Linked DNA regions of Astyanax mexicanus. The protein of the gene in region 1 purifies or fractionates together with the protein of each later gene. This does not show direct contact. Links are inferred from orthologs where the notes say so. Each region holds a gene or a part of one and is shown on either strand. Other genes may lie near its edges.

The links. Proteins that work in one complex are often made in the same cells at the same time.
Region 2: the proteins of rnf19a (region 1) and sod1 purify together in Homo sapiens (affinity purification with western blotting, with the first as the bait; 3 studies listed by BioGRID). This does not show direct contact. The link is inferred for Astyanax mexicanus from reciprocal best matches to the Homo sapiens genes RNF19A and SOD1.

What each region holds. Positions count from the first base shown.
Region 1 is NC_064410.1:32,967,680-32,975,232, forward strand, and holds the start of rnf19a (E3 ubiquitin-protein ligase RNF19A), read right to left. Parts: upstream 3,022-7,553; 5' UTR 2,878-3,021; coding exon 2,847-2,877; intron 1-2,846. UniProt on the Homo sapiens protein: E3 ubiquitin-protein ligase which accepts ubiquitin from E2 ubiquitin-conjugating enzymes UBE2L3 and UBE2L6 in the form of a thioester and then directly transfers the ubiquitin to targeted substrates, such as SNCAIP or CASR.
Region 2 is NC_064427.1:36,970,483-36,978,296, forward strand, and holds the start of sod1 (superoxide dismutase [Cu-Zn]), read right to left. Parts: upstream 3,013-7,814; 5' UTR 2,917-3,012; coding exon 2,848-2,916; intron 184-2,847; coding exon 87-183; intron 1-86. Other genes in the region: scaf4a (SR-related and CTD-associated factor 4), read right to left, coding at 6,974-7,814. UniProt on the Homo sapiens protein: Destroys radicals which are normally produced within the cells and which are toxic to biological systems.

The DNA.
Region 1 (7,553 bases):
CCGATATCGATAACAGCGAGGAGAACCATCAACGCGAAAGAGACGGTATGTTGACTTGTTTCAAAACAGTGGAAACGAAGTTGCGATCTCATTTAAAGCACAACAATCCAGCCAATTTTCCGAGCTGAATATTGAATATGAATATTGTTACCCTCAGAGAGATCCTGCATCAAGCCCCACATGATAAACATGTTTGCGTCCCTTGCTCAGAATTTGTCTGACAGTTATGTTAAAAATTCCCTTTATAGCAAGAGTTCTTGCCTGCTCAACCATCTGTGTGATCATATGGACACTTGTGTCTTTGGACGCCAATTTGTGTTTTACAGTATAGACATATATAATCAAAAAAGGATAATCTGCAAGTGCCTTTGTGTTATGTCCAGAGTTTTAAAAAAAAGTTGTATTAATGTAAATGTTACTTATCTATACGTTGTTACTTTTTGTTGTTTAATATTTAGCGCAGTTTTCTCAGAACCCACAAAGTCCCAGGGTGGTTGTACTTTATTTGATTTATTTTGAACATTAAAATATTTGTAAATTGGAAGCCCAGTGTCTGTTCTTAATAATATAAAAGTTAGTTTCACTGTAAAATGGTGTAATATTATTGTTATGCTAGTATTTTATTACTGTTGCACACTGTCTTGAAGCTCCTTTGCACCTCTTTGCAAACTCCTTGAAACACCTCTACCACTGCCACCACATAACATAACTAATAAAATGTCTAAGACAATGTTTACAGAAAATGGATAGCGTTGGTAGACATTTTTGTGCAAAATCCTGTAATATCTTGTCATTCTGTAAGACTAAAATTCTAAAATAATACATATGGCATAAGGTAGGAAGCTAAAATCATAATTTGGCTTTACTGCAGTGAACTGTACCCTCCACATGTAGGGACAGTCCATGTACCCTGCTTTACTGCCAGCATGAACCTTATCTGATACAGTGAGATAGGTGTATAAAGTTTGACAGAATTCATGGTGTGCTTCGGTATATTATTCTACTGTGGCATGTTGATAGTGCTGGTAGTATGATGCTTCATTTCGTATGGTGTTTTAAATTCATCTAATGTTTTAAAATAATTTAGACAAAGGGCAAACACTTTCAGAAGTAACTTGTTGCTAGTGACAATCAGTTTAGCACACATGCCATCAAGCCTGTAAGCTTTAAGCCCCAGAAATACACACACACAAAAGACAAAACCATGTATTTTTTTTAACCACAAAACTACCAATCTTAAAAAAAACATGGTCTTAAAAAAAGTGTGTCTTTCTTAAATAAAAAAGAAATAAATGAAAAAAACTTGAAAACTTCTTGAAAACTAACAAAAAAGTCACATTTAAATCACATAATGTATATACAGCTCTGAAAAAATAAGAGAGCACTTAAAATGATGAGTTTTTGATTTTACCCATTTAAAAATCTGATGATGGATGATCACAAGCCATCAAACCAAGCTGAACTGCTACCAAATATTTATTTCCAAACTTTATGAATATGTCCTTGTTTTTGTAGGTTTTGTATTATTTGAGGTCTGAAAGCTCTGCATATTTTTTTGTTATTTCAGCCATTTCTCATTTTCTGCAAATTAATGCTATAAATGACAATATTTTTATTTGGGATTTGGCAGAATATGGTCCATAGTTTATAGAATAAAAGAACAATGTTCATTTTACTCAAACATATACCTATAAATGGTAAAAATTGTAAAAAAAAAAAAAATGGGCTCATAATTTTTTTTCAGAGCCGTATGTATACACTGTGCTGATGTAAATTCTGAACATATTTTACAATGCTTAAACAAGAAACAAACAATCAGCTAACTTAGCTGCTAAGACTGATCTGCATCCCAGATCATCGTGCATCCCTGATTCAGACCACCCACGATTAGGCAATGTCTAAAAATCCAGCTCCACATTACAGAAGCAGGAATAAAGTACAACACACTTCACTAAAACTTACTCATACCCTCAGTATTACGACAGAGAAATCCCTGTAGGAAGCCGAAGGACAGATTAATGGTGAAATCTCTCATGGCAGGATCATTTCACAGCCCGGCAACAAACAAGCTTTTATAAAGGGATTTACCAAGATTTTTATTCGCGTCTGGAGTCTTATATAAATCAGAAGCTAACGCCTCTTCCAACACTACCACACACAGTGACCTAGCTAACAAACTAGCTACCGACGCTTATATTACAGTTAGTAACAGCGGGGTGTTTTCTAAAGTCCTGTACAAAGTATCGTTAAATTCAACACGTTAATTACATTAAGGTTCTGTTCAGTTATAAAACCTTGACTTTACACTACGGCTAAGCGTGAAGGAAGCAAGGGTTAGCTATAACCGATACAAATGACCAAACGGATGATTAAATACCAACAATACAACACATACCTTATTAATATACAATAGCTAATACATCAAACGAAGCTCATATTTGTATCAAATGTAGCTAACAAAAGGAAACGAAACACACCGCCAGAGCAGAGAGATATGCGGCTAGCGGGCGGGCTAGCTACACCTAGGTTAGCTTAGCTAGCGTTAACACAGGTTAGCTAACTCCCAGGCCTGCTGCTTATTAAAGCTATTTTGTGTTCTCTGTAGATTCCCCCTTCTAAACTACAGACGAACATTTCACACAAAACACAAACTAAAACACAAAGAGTCGACCTTAAACTCGGTTTGCGCTGATTAACAGATGAACAGAGTCGACCTTTAAAGCGTCTTTTACGCTTTGTTTGGCGAACTGTAAACGTTATTTATGCTAGGCTATCTGACGACGGTTGGATATATTTGAAGTTGTGAGAAAAGCGAAGAGATTTTTTTTCTCTCAGAAATATCTTACCTTTCGAGTCACCCACGTAACAGCATTTCATTCCACTAGGCGGGAAGGAGCGACAAACACCACAGTCGAGTTAAAATAAACGCTTTTAGAGTTGTTCCTTACTTGAAACTTATCGACTTCTCCCCACCGTTCTCTGCTCTCTCTCTCTCTGAGTCACTGTAACCGCCTCTCTCTCTCTCTCCCTCTCCCTTCGGCCCCGTCCAAATTCACCATCTAAACTCTAAGCCCCGCCTCCTCCTCCAAGTCCGCATATCTGCCAATACCATGACTTGCAAGGGATCGAGTTCGAGTAGGCGAGGGTTAGAGTGAAACTGTTGAATTGGAACGCGCCGGCTGCCTGCAATTCTCAAATTGTTTTAAAATCGGGTCTCTCGCGAGAGCTTACCATAACAGGTCATAGATCCGACTAATATTGGCTTTTTTTCTTTTTCCGTCACATCTGTTATTTACTGTATATGTATAGTTAATGAGGTCAAATTTAATTTATGTTTGATTTATGTTCTTTGATAAATTTTTTGGTCTACCTTGTGACGAATGATTGTTGATGTAAATTATATAAATACTTTTATTTTTTATTGTTTATCCCATTTTCACCCCAATTTTACAAGTCCAGATACCCAACCCCCTCATTAGTTCTCCCCCTATCACTAGTGACGCCCCAACACCAGGAAGGTGAGGACTAACACATGTCTCCACCAATACATGTGAGGTCCTCCACCACCTCTGTTCAAACTGCTGCTGATGGAGCATTGCTGATTCGTTTGGAGGAAAGCGCAGCAACTCAGTTCCAAAACATCAGCTCACAGACGCCTTGTGTTGCTCGATATCAATCTAGGAGTGATGTGGGGAGAGAGCGCCATCTACCCACCCAGGATGAGGATGAAGATTCGAACCAGCGATCTCCTGATCAAAGTGGCTAATAAAGCTAATAACTTGGTTGTGCCATTCTTGGCGTGAACAACTGCAATCAAGTTTTACCAAATACTGGCAATGAGTCTTTCACATCTCTGTGGAGAAATTTGACTCACTCTTCTTTACAAAATTGTTTTAATTCAGACACATTGCAGGTTTTTGAGCATAAACATTGCTTGTTTAAGATCGTGCCACAGCATCTCAATCAGATTTGGACTAGGCCACTTATTTTTTTACCATTCAGATGTGGACTTGTTTGTGTGCTTTAGATCATTGTCCTGCTGCAGAACCCAAGTACGCCCGAGTTTAAGGTCACGAACAGAGGGCCGATATTCTCCTTCAGGATTGTCTGGAAACAAGCTGAATTCCTGGTTGTGTCTATTAGAGCAAATTGTTCAGGTCCTGAAGCAGCAAAGCAGACCCAGAAAATCACACTACCTGACATTCAGTATAATGTTCTTTTTCTGAAATTATGTATTGTAATAATTTAGTTCAGCTGGTCCCTGCTGTGAAGGTCCACCAGTGTTCCATGTTTTCTATTTTTGTGATTAATATCTTTCTCTGTGGGTCGCTGGAGTCCCAAAGCCTTAGAAATGACTGTGACTTTTCTCATCTATTTTTGAATTTCTTCAGATCACGGAATAATGTGTTGCTTCTTGAGATCTTTTATCTGCTTCATGTTGTCCGACAAGTGCTTTTCAAGTGATTTCTTGATTCTACACTTGTCTGGCAGTAATCAGGCCTGGTTGTGTTTATGTAACCTGAACTCAGCTTTCCAAAAAGTGTGCTTAATCACAGTTAATTTTTGGGGGGCAAAGAATATTTCACACAGGGCTGGATTGGTTTGGATAGTTTTCTCCCTTAATAAATGAAATCATGATTTAAAACATGCTTTCTATATTTGTTTGATAATCTGAAAAATGTAAGTATGACAAAAATGTAAAAACTAAATAAATCTGCAAGGGGGCAAATACTTTTTTTTACATCACTGTATGTTATATTAAGCTGCATTCCATTGTATCATTAGTGCAGGCATAAGCCACTATATATACAGCATATCACACATTATTTTTACAAAAGAAAAATACTTTTAGCACGGTTTATAACAAAATATTATGTTTTTATGTGATTTTGCTACATTTTTACATGGTCTAAGTCTGTTTTTTATTTCAAACATTTTACAAATTCTAAGGCCTGCTTTCAGTAGGTTTAAAACTTGGTTTTAATATGTTTTCAGACGGTTTCATATTTCCTCTTGTTCAGACCGTGCTATTTGTGTCCTGCTCTGTTTTTTTTTCTGATGAAAAAGTTAGGTAGGGGATTCTTCAGCTTTGGTTTACGGCTCTTTTGTTGTGTTACTATTTTTGGTGCTGCTGCTCAGGTTTCGCTGCAGCGTTTGCAGGCATGCTGCTTTGATCTGTGCACAACATTTTTGATCTGACGGAGCTACTCTTTCTGCAGGGCTTCATTCTGACACCCAAACTGCCCCACCCTCCAGAGTCAATAAACTGTACAATATGTTCATTCATGTGGGCCCAGACTTCTAATTAATTAATAATCTCCCCAATGTATTCATATTGTCCTCCAACACAGGCTTAGACTAACACAATGTTACTGTGAGGAGGAAAGCTAGCATGTGCTTCCTCTAAGACATGCAATTAGGCTGTGACCTTGGCTTAAACAATGCATATCACAATACATATCATCATACAGGGGTTAAGACTCAATATATTGCAATATTTTGATGGGGAGGTACCACCAGACCTGGACTTGAAAGCCGTGATATCATTTTTGGTTAAGGATGACAAAAATATTATGAAATTAGTAATTCAAACCCACCTTTGTCATTGGCTGTTTTTTTCTCTTTTTTCAGCTTTTTTCTTTTCTGTTCTAGAGGGATACATTTTTTTAAGACATGGCTTTGCCGACTTGCACTTACTTCACTTCTCACATTAATTATCGATAACCAAAGAGGTGCATACCTGCATTTGCCCAACAGTGGCAGCAGCCGACTGCAGGAATCGATACAAGATCTTAGAAAAGAAATAAATGTTGTAAAATGCTAAAGGCATTCCAACCAAATATTAGTGTGTGACCTTTTTTCTGACCAGGTGGAGTATATTGTGTGACAGATCTACCTAGGAGAAGCAGAGTAAACATGGAAACACAATGCTGAAAAAAAAAGAAACGGCCTTGAATGAGGTTGTGGGTGGGAGAACAGGGTCAGCATGGTCTGTACAAAATGAATGTGAGGAGCACAGAGGTCTGTGGTGGGTACAAGGCAGATCTTAGTTTCTCATTATTTCCTTTGCACCTTAAATAGTGCAGCAGTATGGGACACATACGAAAGCTTGTTAGAGTAGCTGCTGCATCATTTAAGTTGGAATGCAAAATTAAATACAGAAACCGCTTAAAAAGAATACATTTACAAGAGAGGCAAACACACGTCTTAACTAAATAGTTTTGTTCACCATGGCTAAGTTCAAATAACCAGGGTGAAATTTTGCCCTAATGTAACACAGATATGTTTTTTTGTTTGTTTGTTTGTTTTTCTTATACAATTTTAGATGAGTCAGATTTGGGTCACTTTAAGATGTAAATCTTATAAATCTATTCCCTTTAAATGTGTTTTTACCCAGATTTAAAGTTAAGGCCAAGCTATAAGAGTCATGAACCACAACTGTGAAAAACATTCATTTAGTGAAGTGAGTCTTTTGAATGGTAGTACATAATCACTTCCTGCACTTCCTTTAACTCAGGCTCCCTAAAGAAAAGGACCATTCAGTATAAAACAGACAAATGGCCAGTGCTATGTGACACCAGTGTGTAATAGAAACAGGTGTTTTTAGATCTGCCACAATTTCCCCATATACTCTTTCGCCTATAAAAGATTGCTGTTTTTGTTACATAATCCCTGATTTTATTCTTTGGAAGGCTACATGTTTTTGTCAGTCAGTAGGTGCCGTGTTGAGGCAACACTCCCCCTCATTTACAGATAATTGCAGGGCTACTGAGCAGGGGCATTACAAAGAACCAACTGACCTCATGTTAACACATGAAATAATCTGCATCACCACATAATGCAGACCTAATGTGTTTGGCAAAAACTCTTTCTATTCATCTTCATTTTTTCTCTCAGGTCAGTTTCAGAACTTCATTATGGAAATGTCCTCTCAGGTTCCTGCAGAAACTCCCCTGGCAGCTATGAGAGGAATGAGCGTTATGTAAATGCAAAAACATGCAGGTGCATTTCTGAAGGTATTTTATACACTCTATACTTTCAGTTTACTGTAGATTTATCAGCTTTGTACTGTGGTTACAAGAAAAGCAAACACACATTTAAATGAACTAGTTCAATTAACCAGGATAAAAAGAATTACGTTTAATTTTTGCCTCATTGTGACACAGATCTGATTATTTAAAAAAAAATCTGATTTAAGATGAGTCAGATTTAAATCCCTTTCAGATGTGACAAAGTTATATAGAATCTAATTCATATATATTCCCTTCACTGAAAAATCAAGCTTTAAATGTTTGTGTTAGCTTCATGCTAACATATTATTAGAATCCCTTAAGGATGCCAGCAGAAACTAGCATCATAAAACTTGTTTTTGAGCAAGATTTGACAGTTATGGCCTGAAGTGAAGGCCAAGCTATAAGAGTCATGAACCACAACTGTGAAAAACATTCATTTTGTGAGGTGGGTTTGTGAATGGTAGTACAGAATCGCTTCCAGCACTTCCTTTACCTCAGGCTTCCTAAAAAAAAGGACCATTCAGTGTAAAAACAGCTAAA
Region 2 (7,814 bases), on another chromosome or scaffold:
TGATTTTGAAGTGAAAGTATTATTAAACATCTCAGTAATTGTAATTAAGCTTTTAATACATCAGAGGGTAAAAAAAAAAAACTCACCATTTGTGTTATCTCCAAAAGCATGGACGTGAAATCCGTGCAGGCCAGGAGTGAGGCCAGTGATCTCACCTGAAACCTTTACTGGAGCACCATCACCCTGAAACACCAGAGCACTTACTGTCAGTCTCTAACAAACACACGTTTTGTTACACATTTGCTACCTCTAGGAACAGAAATGTACAGGATGGCACAGTACTGTACATCTTTTGGCATGCATATGCAAAAGTGACCTTGCAGGACTGTGCAATACCAAACTAGCAAGCCCAGCTCTGTCCTGGGGTCCTCTGGATCCAGTGGAGGTGGTGAGAGACAGGAGATTGAGGTCTAAGTTTTAGTACATGCTAAAGAACCTGTCCCAAACCCATGCACCAGCAGTGTGTGAAGGAGAAATACTGCAAGTCCTTCCTCCCACACACCATCAGACTGTACAACACACCATGCTCTCAGTAAACACTCGTTTACTATTTTATTACTACATGAAAACTACTTGCTCAGTATAGCTGTATTGTGTGCAATGTGCAAATTCACCATGTGTACCATGTTCTCTTTATCACCATTTGTGCAATATGTTTACTGTGCAATATTTCTCACCTTTCATCTACTATTCATTTGCTATTTATTCACTGTTAGTCCTTGTGCAATAATACTGGTCACAATCTACCATAATCATAACTTATCTGACTTTATCTTATCTGCACTATATGTATATACTTAAAAAAAAAAAAAACACACATTTTATATATATATATATATATATATATATATATATATATATATATATATATATATATATATATATATATATATATATATAGATGATATCCCCGATATACATATCAAAGTATAGTCTGTTAAAATGAATGACAGAATTTATTGTGAAATATAGAAAAGTGCATTGTTTAAATTCATTAAAAACTATTTTATAAATTGTTAAACTGAGGGCACATTTTAAAGTCTCTAAATTGATAACCTAACTAAGCTAATGTTAACTACTCACAGCTTTGTAGCTACAACTGTGACATGGTTTTATTGATAGATAGAAGATGAATACTAGCTCCTATATAGTTAGATAATCCACCCTTAATATATATATATATATATATATATATATATATATATATATATATATATATATATATCAGTTAAACAATTATAAAGAGTAGGGGTGTGTCATATTGTATCATTCACAATTATATCGCCAACATTTTTGAATATCGTAAACGTTATTATACCTGGAAATATCGTGCCGTATCACCCACCTCTTATCACATTAGGGTAGTACTTTTAAAGAAACATTCACACTGTTCTCATTGTTCATTATATGTATCTACTAGAGACAGATAATATCTGTCCAGTATCATTTAATTTACTTTAGTCCTGGATATATGGAGATATCTGGAGTGCATAAATAGTACAATGACAATGAGATTTGATAGAATTCTTGTATTTTTATTTTGTATCGTTATCGAGAATAAAAAAAATACCACGAAATACCGTGATATTATTTAATAAAACGAGTTATACGCAATGCTCCAGCTCTAGGCTGTTTAGTTTGTGCATGTTCAACTTGCAAACTCGTTTTTTTGGATGAATTAACCGCACGATGCAAATGACTCAGCAAGAAGTTTGGACTTGGGTCTGCGGCCGTGCAGAGGTTAACTCCCTTTTACCCAGTTTAAACTCTGATCTGGTGATTATGCCTTTTCCCCACACAGCTATTACTTATTACTACACTTATCCAACAGTAGTTAGTCGAGCTAATACTATGATACATGTAACGTTAGGTAATTAGCAGTGCTATGTTTAATGACGAGGAGCATAAACTGTAACCTAACCTAGTTGATTTAACTAGAACTAAATATATAAACCATAGTTTTCCCGTGTTTGTGACTAAAGTGAGATTTATGGAGCAGGAGATTTAGCTTGCATTAACACACAGAAAGGTGCAGCAGGATTAGCAAGGTCTGTATGAAATGCCGCTGCGCTCGTTACAAAACACTTAGCAAACCACACAGCATAGCTGCTAACCACGGGGCTCGCTAGCGGAGGAGGAGCAGAGCTACACCGGTGTTCTGTCAAGTTATGCTACCCATCGAGATATGCTTCCTAAAGGCACTGCGCATGCGCTGACCTACACCATTTAATTATTTCTTCTGTTTTTTCTTTATAATGAATAATTTTTTGTGCGGTAAACAATCTGGCCTCGCTAGCATTGCACAAAAGCGCAAAATTAAATCGACAATAATAATAAATACAATTTACTATTATTGAAAAAGAAAATACAAAAGCAGTTTGTAAAGACCTCTCATTGACATAACTTTAACATGATACAGTGATTTATTCTGTTCAAATATACTAACCCGCATCTAACTTACTGAGAGATCTGCTGGGAACGTTCTCTAAAATTGTTCTTTTTTTGTATTTTTTCCAGTTAAATATAACTTACACTAAGGTAGCGCGGTTTTGACATGGTAGCATAACTCGACAGAACACCGGATACTGTCCTTATATGAGCTAAAAACGTCAACAAATCAGGTTTGGTGATTAAAAAACCTGCAGGACGCGCTCTAAAGCACTAAAGACCCGGGTATTATCTAACATGTTAGTTAGCATTAGCTAGTAACCCAGCTGAAGCAGTGCACACCGCTCGGAGTCTGCGGGCTCGCGCCGAGTTGACACAGCAACTCAGCAGGTTAGCTAGCACAGCCAGCTCGCGCACTCCTGCACAGAAAAGTGTAAAACACCGCAATTATTCATCTACCTGCTCAAAGAACACCGTTCCGGTCACCTCTCCGGTCCCCTTCAGCACACACACAGCCTTATGCACCATGTTTATCAGAGCTCTGTAGAACTGACCCTCTGAACTGAGCTCAAAAACCCGACTCACCGCCCAGCGCTGTTTGATAAGGCGAGAAGCGACGTACTTCTCTCCAGCCAATCACAACCGCGGATCGCAGCGGGGCAGCTGATTGGCTAAGAGGCCAGGCATAAATTAGACCGGTGATGATGATTGGCTAGAAGCTCAAGCGAAAAGATAGCGCGTCGACTGCTAGCTCATATAATCTGATAAAAAAATTATTATTTTAAATCAGATTTTTTTAGGGAAGGCATAATTATATATTAAAATAACATAAATAACATACATTCTGTAAAAAGAACAATGAGCAAATAAACGAATGAATAAATACATAATACATGTGTATCTCCAAAAATTAGAATATCATTGAAAAGTTACTTTATTTCAGTAATTAGTTAAAAATGTGAAACTCATTTATTATATAGATGTATTACACACAGAATTATATATTTTAAGCGTTCTTTTATTGTTGATTATTATGGCTTAATTAGTGTCTCAAATGATTATAATTAGAATATTATACAAACCCTTTGGTTTTGGCAGTGTGGGCCATGTGCCAAGTCCTGCTTAAAAGTGAAACCCACATCTGATGGTTTGAAGAGTCGTAGTCTTCTGCTAGTGTTGGTCCACTGTGTTATATCAAGTCCAAAGTCAGTGCAGCTTTACAAACAAATTTAGGATTAATTATTTTCCATTAACAACACTGATAAATACAACCTGACTACAACAAAATAAATGCAGTGCAGATTTCACTCTTTTTTTAATTATGAACGGACCTGAACAAATCCCTTGTCTTAAGTAACTATTATTTGTACAAAACTCTGCATGTATTTGTCCACTATTTTAATATGTAATTTTCAGATCCAGAATCTTCTCTAAACTCTGGTTAAACTGTCTTAAATAAACATTTGGTGTAATAACTTACTATTAAAGAGTTTTTAGAGGTTCAGAAGTCTAGATAATTTTACTTGGCATAGCATGATTTCCTTATTAGGAATTTGTTAATATATCACATCTTAGCTGTAAAAAAAAAACAATAAAAGCAAATATCGATCGATTTTTTGACAAATTTTATTCAAAACAAATAAATAATTAGTGTGAAAATGATAAAGATCTGATATAGGTCTGACGTACAGCAGAAAGTAGACTGCTTACAGTTTTAACAAGACCAGATTAACCAGTTTCTGCTGTGTGTGCTAGACTGGCTAATCCAAAACATTACATGAATGTAATGTTAGCATTACCATTAGCTACTTTAGAGAGCAATATCAAATGTTTCAGCACTGCAGGTGTTATTTTATTATTTTTAATGCTTTTAAACGGCAGTTATAAACCTTTTAAACTTGCTATTCAGGCTGTATCTCCAGCTTCAGCTCACTAACCACAGTAGCTGTAATGCTAACACCTTTACTGCTTAAAACCTGATTAATTTTCAAAATTGTGATTGGTTATTATTTTAAGCTGATTTTAGCCAATTAACTTAATTCACACCCTTTCAACAATTTAGACTCACTCATGGGTATTCTGCTGTCATTTCTGATATAACAGGTGATACAAGACGTGAGCAGGCTCTCTATAAACTGACTGATTCTACCCAACAACGGAATAGTGGTTAAACTTGTTCCCTTTTTCATCAGTTAGCATTTCCTCTTATTATTACCTTTAAAAGTCATCACTTCCCTCATTTATATTCACATTGTTGCTGTCAAACAAAAACTTAGGATCTCCATTTTTTTTCTCTACTTGTTGTATTTACTTTTTTTTTAATCTTTTCACTGAGTCACACGGTCATGATATAAAGACCAATTCAAATTCTCCAAAATTACCTGAAATAAAAAATCTTTTTACACTGACCTTCAGTTATGAAGATTTGTCTTCTCCTTAAGAGTTACAGTATCTGACAAGTGAGTGTCAAGTAGTCAAAATAACTCAACACACAGCAACTAATATCTAAAGCGCCGGCAACAAAAGTGAGTACAAGTGAAACTGACCAAATTGTTTCCAATGAACCATTTTCTATCCCAATGTCATGTGAGAAGTTAGTTTCACAAGGTGTCAGGTGTGAATGGAGAGCGGGAGTGTTAAATTTAGGTTTTAATCACCGTCACACTCTCTCATACTGGTTACTGGAAGTTCAACATGGCACCTCATGACAAAGAACTATGAGAATGGCCTGGGAAATAATAAGATTGCCAACGCTTTGAAATTTAAATTGCAGCTTGGTGGCTAAAACCATAGAGCAGTTTAACTGGAGAGGATCGACTCAAGTGTCGACCAAAGAAGTTGAGTTCACATGTTCAGCGTAATATCCAGAGGTTGGCTTTTGAAAAGAGACATACAAGTTCTGCCAGCACTGCTGCAGAGGTTAAAAAGGGGGGGAGGGGGGGGGGGGGGGGGTCAGCCTGTCAATGCTCGCTTTGTGAAATACTGCAGCATTTGGATGAACATAGTTTACATCATTTAATAACTAATAAGTTTAGTTTTGTATCAAGTGCACTGTTAATGGTCTGCCTTTACGTATAATTTCTGTTAATAACAACAGGCACTCATTTACTGCCTTCTAATATAGCACAAGTAAATAAAAGGAAAGAATTTGTGCTGGTGAAACATTTGCACGACAAATACATCTACTGAAGGTCACTATAACCCCATCCTACTCAACACAAATTTGCTATGAAGACAAACAACACAGAATATGCTAGGTGGTGGTTCAAACTCATGCAATTACTTATTTTTCAGGAACAAAAATATATGAAAATTGACTCATCTGTGGAAAAAAAGATTTAAAAAATCATCACTTTCATTTACTGTTTGTCAAAATTTCTGAATACTCTAAAAATGTAATGTAAATAATTCAAAAGTATGTCACAATGTAAGAAAATAAGTTTCGTAATATGCATGTAGTAAATCAAATTTACACATCGCCAGAGAACATACAGTCCACACAAAATGAAAAATTCAGATGAGGAAATCATTCAGTTAAAGAACCTTAAAACTAAAGCATCTGAAAAAACAAGTGCTTAGTCAGTTTGTTCATTTTGGTATGAAAATAGTTTATTAAAACCAAATCCCTATTGCTGAAATATTAAACAAGTTCACATCTCCACAAACTTAAAAATTATACAAACATCTCATTTTCGCACGATGTAAACATGGCAAGTTAAAAACATTACAGCAAAAGGGTCTTTGTCTCTTATTTTAGTCAAGGTTTCCTATCTTCTCCATGTTCATGGGGAATACTTCAAAAACACACCTTACCTCCAAATCTACAAAGGTCATTTGAGTAGTGGAAGCATATTTACAGCAGATTATTTCCTTCTTAAATTTTTACCCCCATGTGTTTCTTTTTCTTTCTTTTTTTTAATTTACCTTTTTAGAATGACTGGTGCACACTCTAGACTTAGAGTATATCTGCACTGAATATTTTTTGTATTTTCCTTGGGTCCTACCCCTCTGATTTAACTTGTTAACCAATAAACAAGTTGTTTATTAATCTACAAATGTGTGTGAGCAGAAAAAAAAAACAAATAGAGCAGTGCAAGGGTGGTCCAGGATCAGGACTGGGAAACACTGGTTTAAAGCAACATTCAAGCTCCACAATGGAACACTGATTACAGAGCAGTGCTCCATGTTAGCCAGACTCTTAAAAGTCAATTACAGGATCATTGATTTTGACATTTTAGAAGGGGGACAAGGCATATAATTTATTTCTATAGGACCACAAACCATATAAATCAAGTTGTTTCTGCATCGTTTCACCTCTTTAGCCTGTAGTGTCCAAGATTAGCCAGGACATGGATGTAAAATAAACATACTATCTACATGGCTTTTACCCGATGTTCTTCTACCTTAAATATCTGGCCTTTATTTTCAGGTTTGAACCCATGTGATGCTTGATACTCATGTCTTTCCATTACCATTCTAAATGGTGTTTAGGCAAATGTTCACACAAACATGTGCATCTTGTCAAGTAAGAAAACAAAAAGAACAAATATCATATGGGCATTGCAGTCCAGGGGATAAGCGTAGCCTATGATTCGTCTGTCTTTGTTTGTTCTGCAGGTTGGTTCTGAGTTTCTGCTGCCGGTTCAGAGGGCTGTGGTTCTGCAGTCACTTCGGTGGGAGGGGGCGGAGCTTCTGCCTTGGCTTGAGTAAGTTCTTTAGCAGAGTCTCTAGACTGCTCCGAGCTGCTAGAGTCTCCGAGCGCCTCATGTCCGTTGGGTTGACTGCCTGCGTTGGACTGAGTGCCCATATTAGCCAGTCTGTCAAGTCTGTCATCCTTGTCCCAGCGGGTACTTCGCTCTCGCGTTCCCGATTCCCTGTCTCTGCGTTTGGGTCGCTCCTCACCCTCCCTACCTTGCTCTCGTCCTTGTTCCCTCTCTCCGTCCGGACTCCTTCTCCAGTCTCTGCGCTCCCGTGTCCTGTCCCACCCACCCCTCTGCTCTGCCTCCTCGTTCCAGCTCCCGAAGCGTTCCCGCCCTTCCAACTTGTCCCCTCCACGGCCCTCGCCAAACGACCTGCGTCCACCAAACCATTCCTGATCCCTGTCTCGCTCCCGGGCCGGCCCGGAATGCTCACCCCTGAAGGGCCGTCCCTCAGGATCTTCAGGTCCGTCTGGTCCTCTGGGGCCAGTAGGCCTCATGAACGGAGGCCCTGGGTGAGGAAAAGGGCCTCGCATGACATGTGGAGGGGGATGCATGCCAAATCCACTTGGTGGAGGCTCTCGATGATGCATCATCTGAGGAGGGCCCCTGGGAGCCATCATCTGTGGAGGCATGGGGGGCATGCCTGGCCGTGGAGCCATGGGGAAACGCTGAAGGTGTGGAGGGGGCATCCCTGGGGGACGTTGGAGAGGCATCATACCTGGTCTT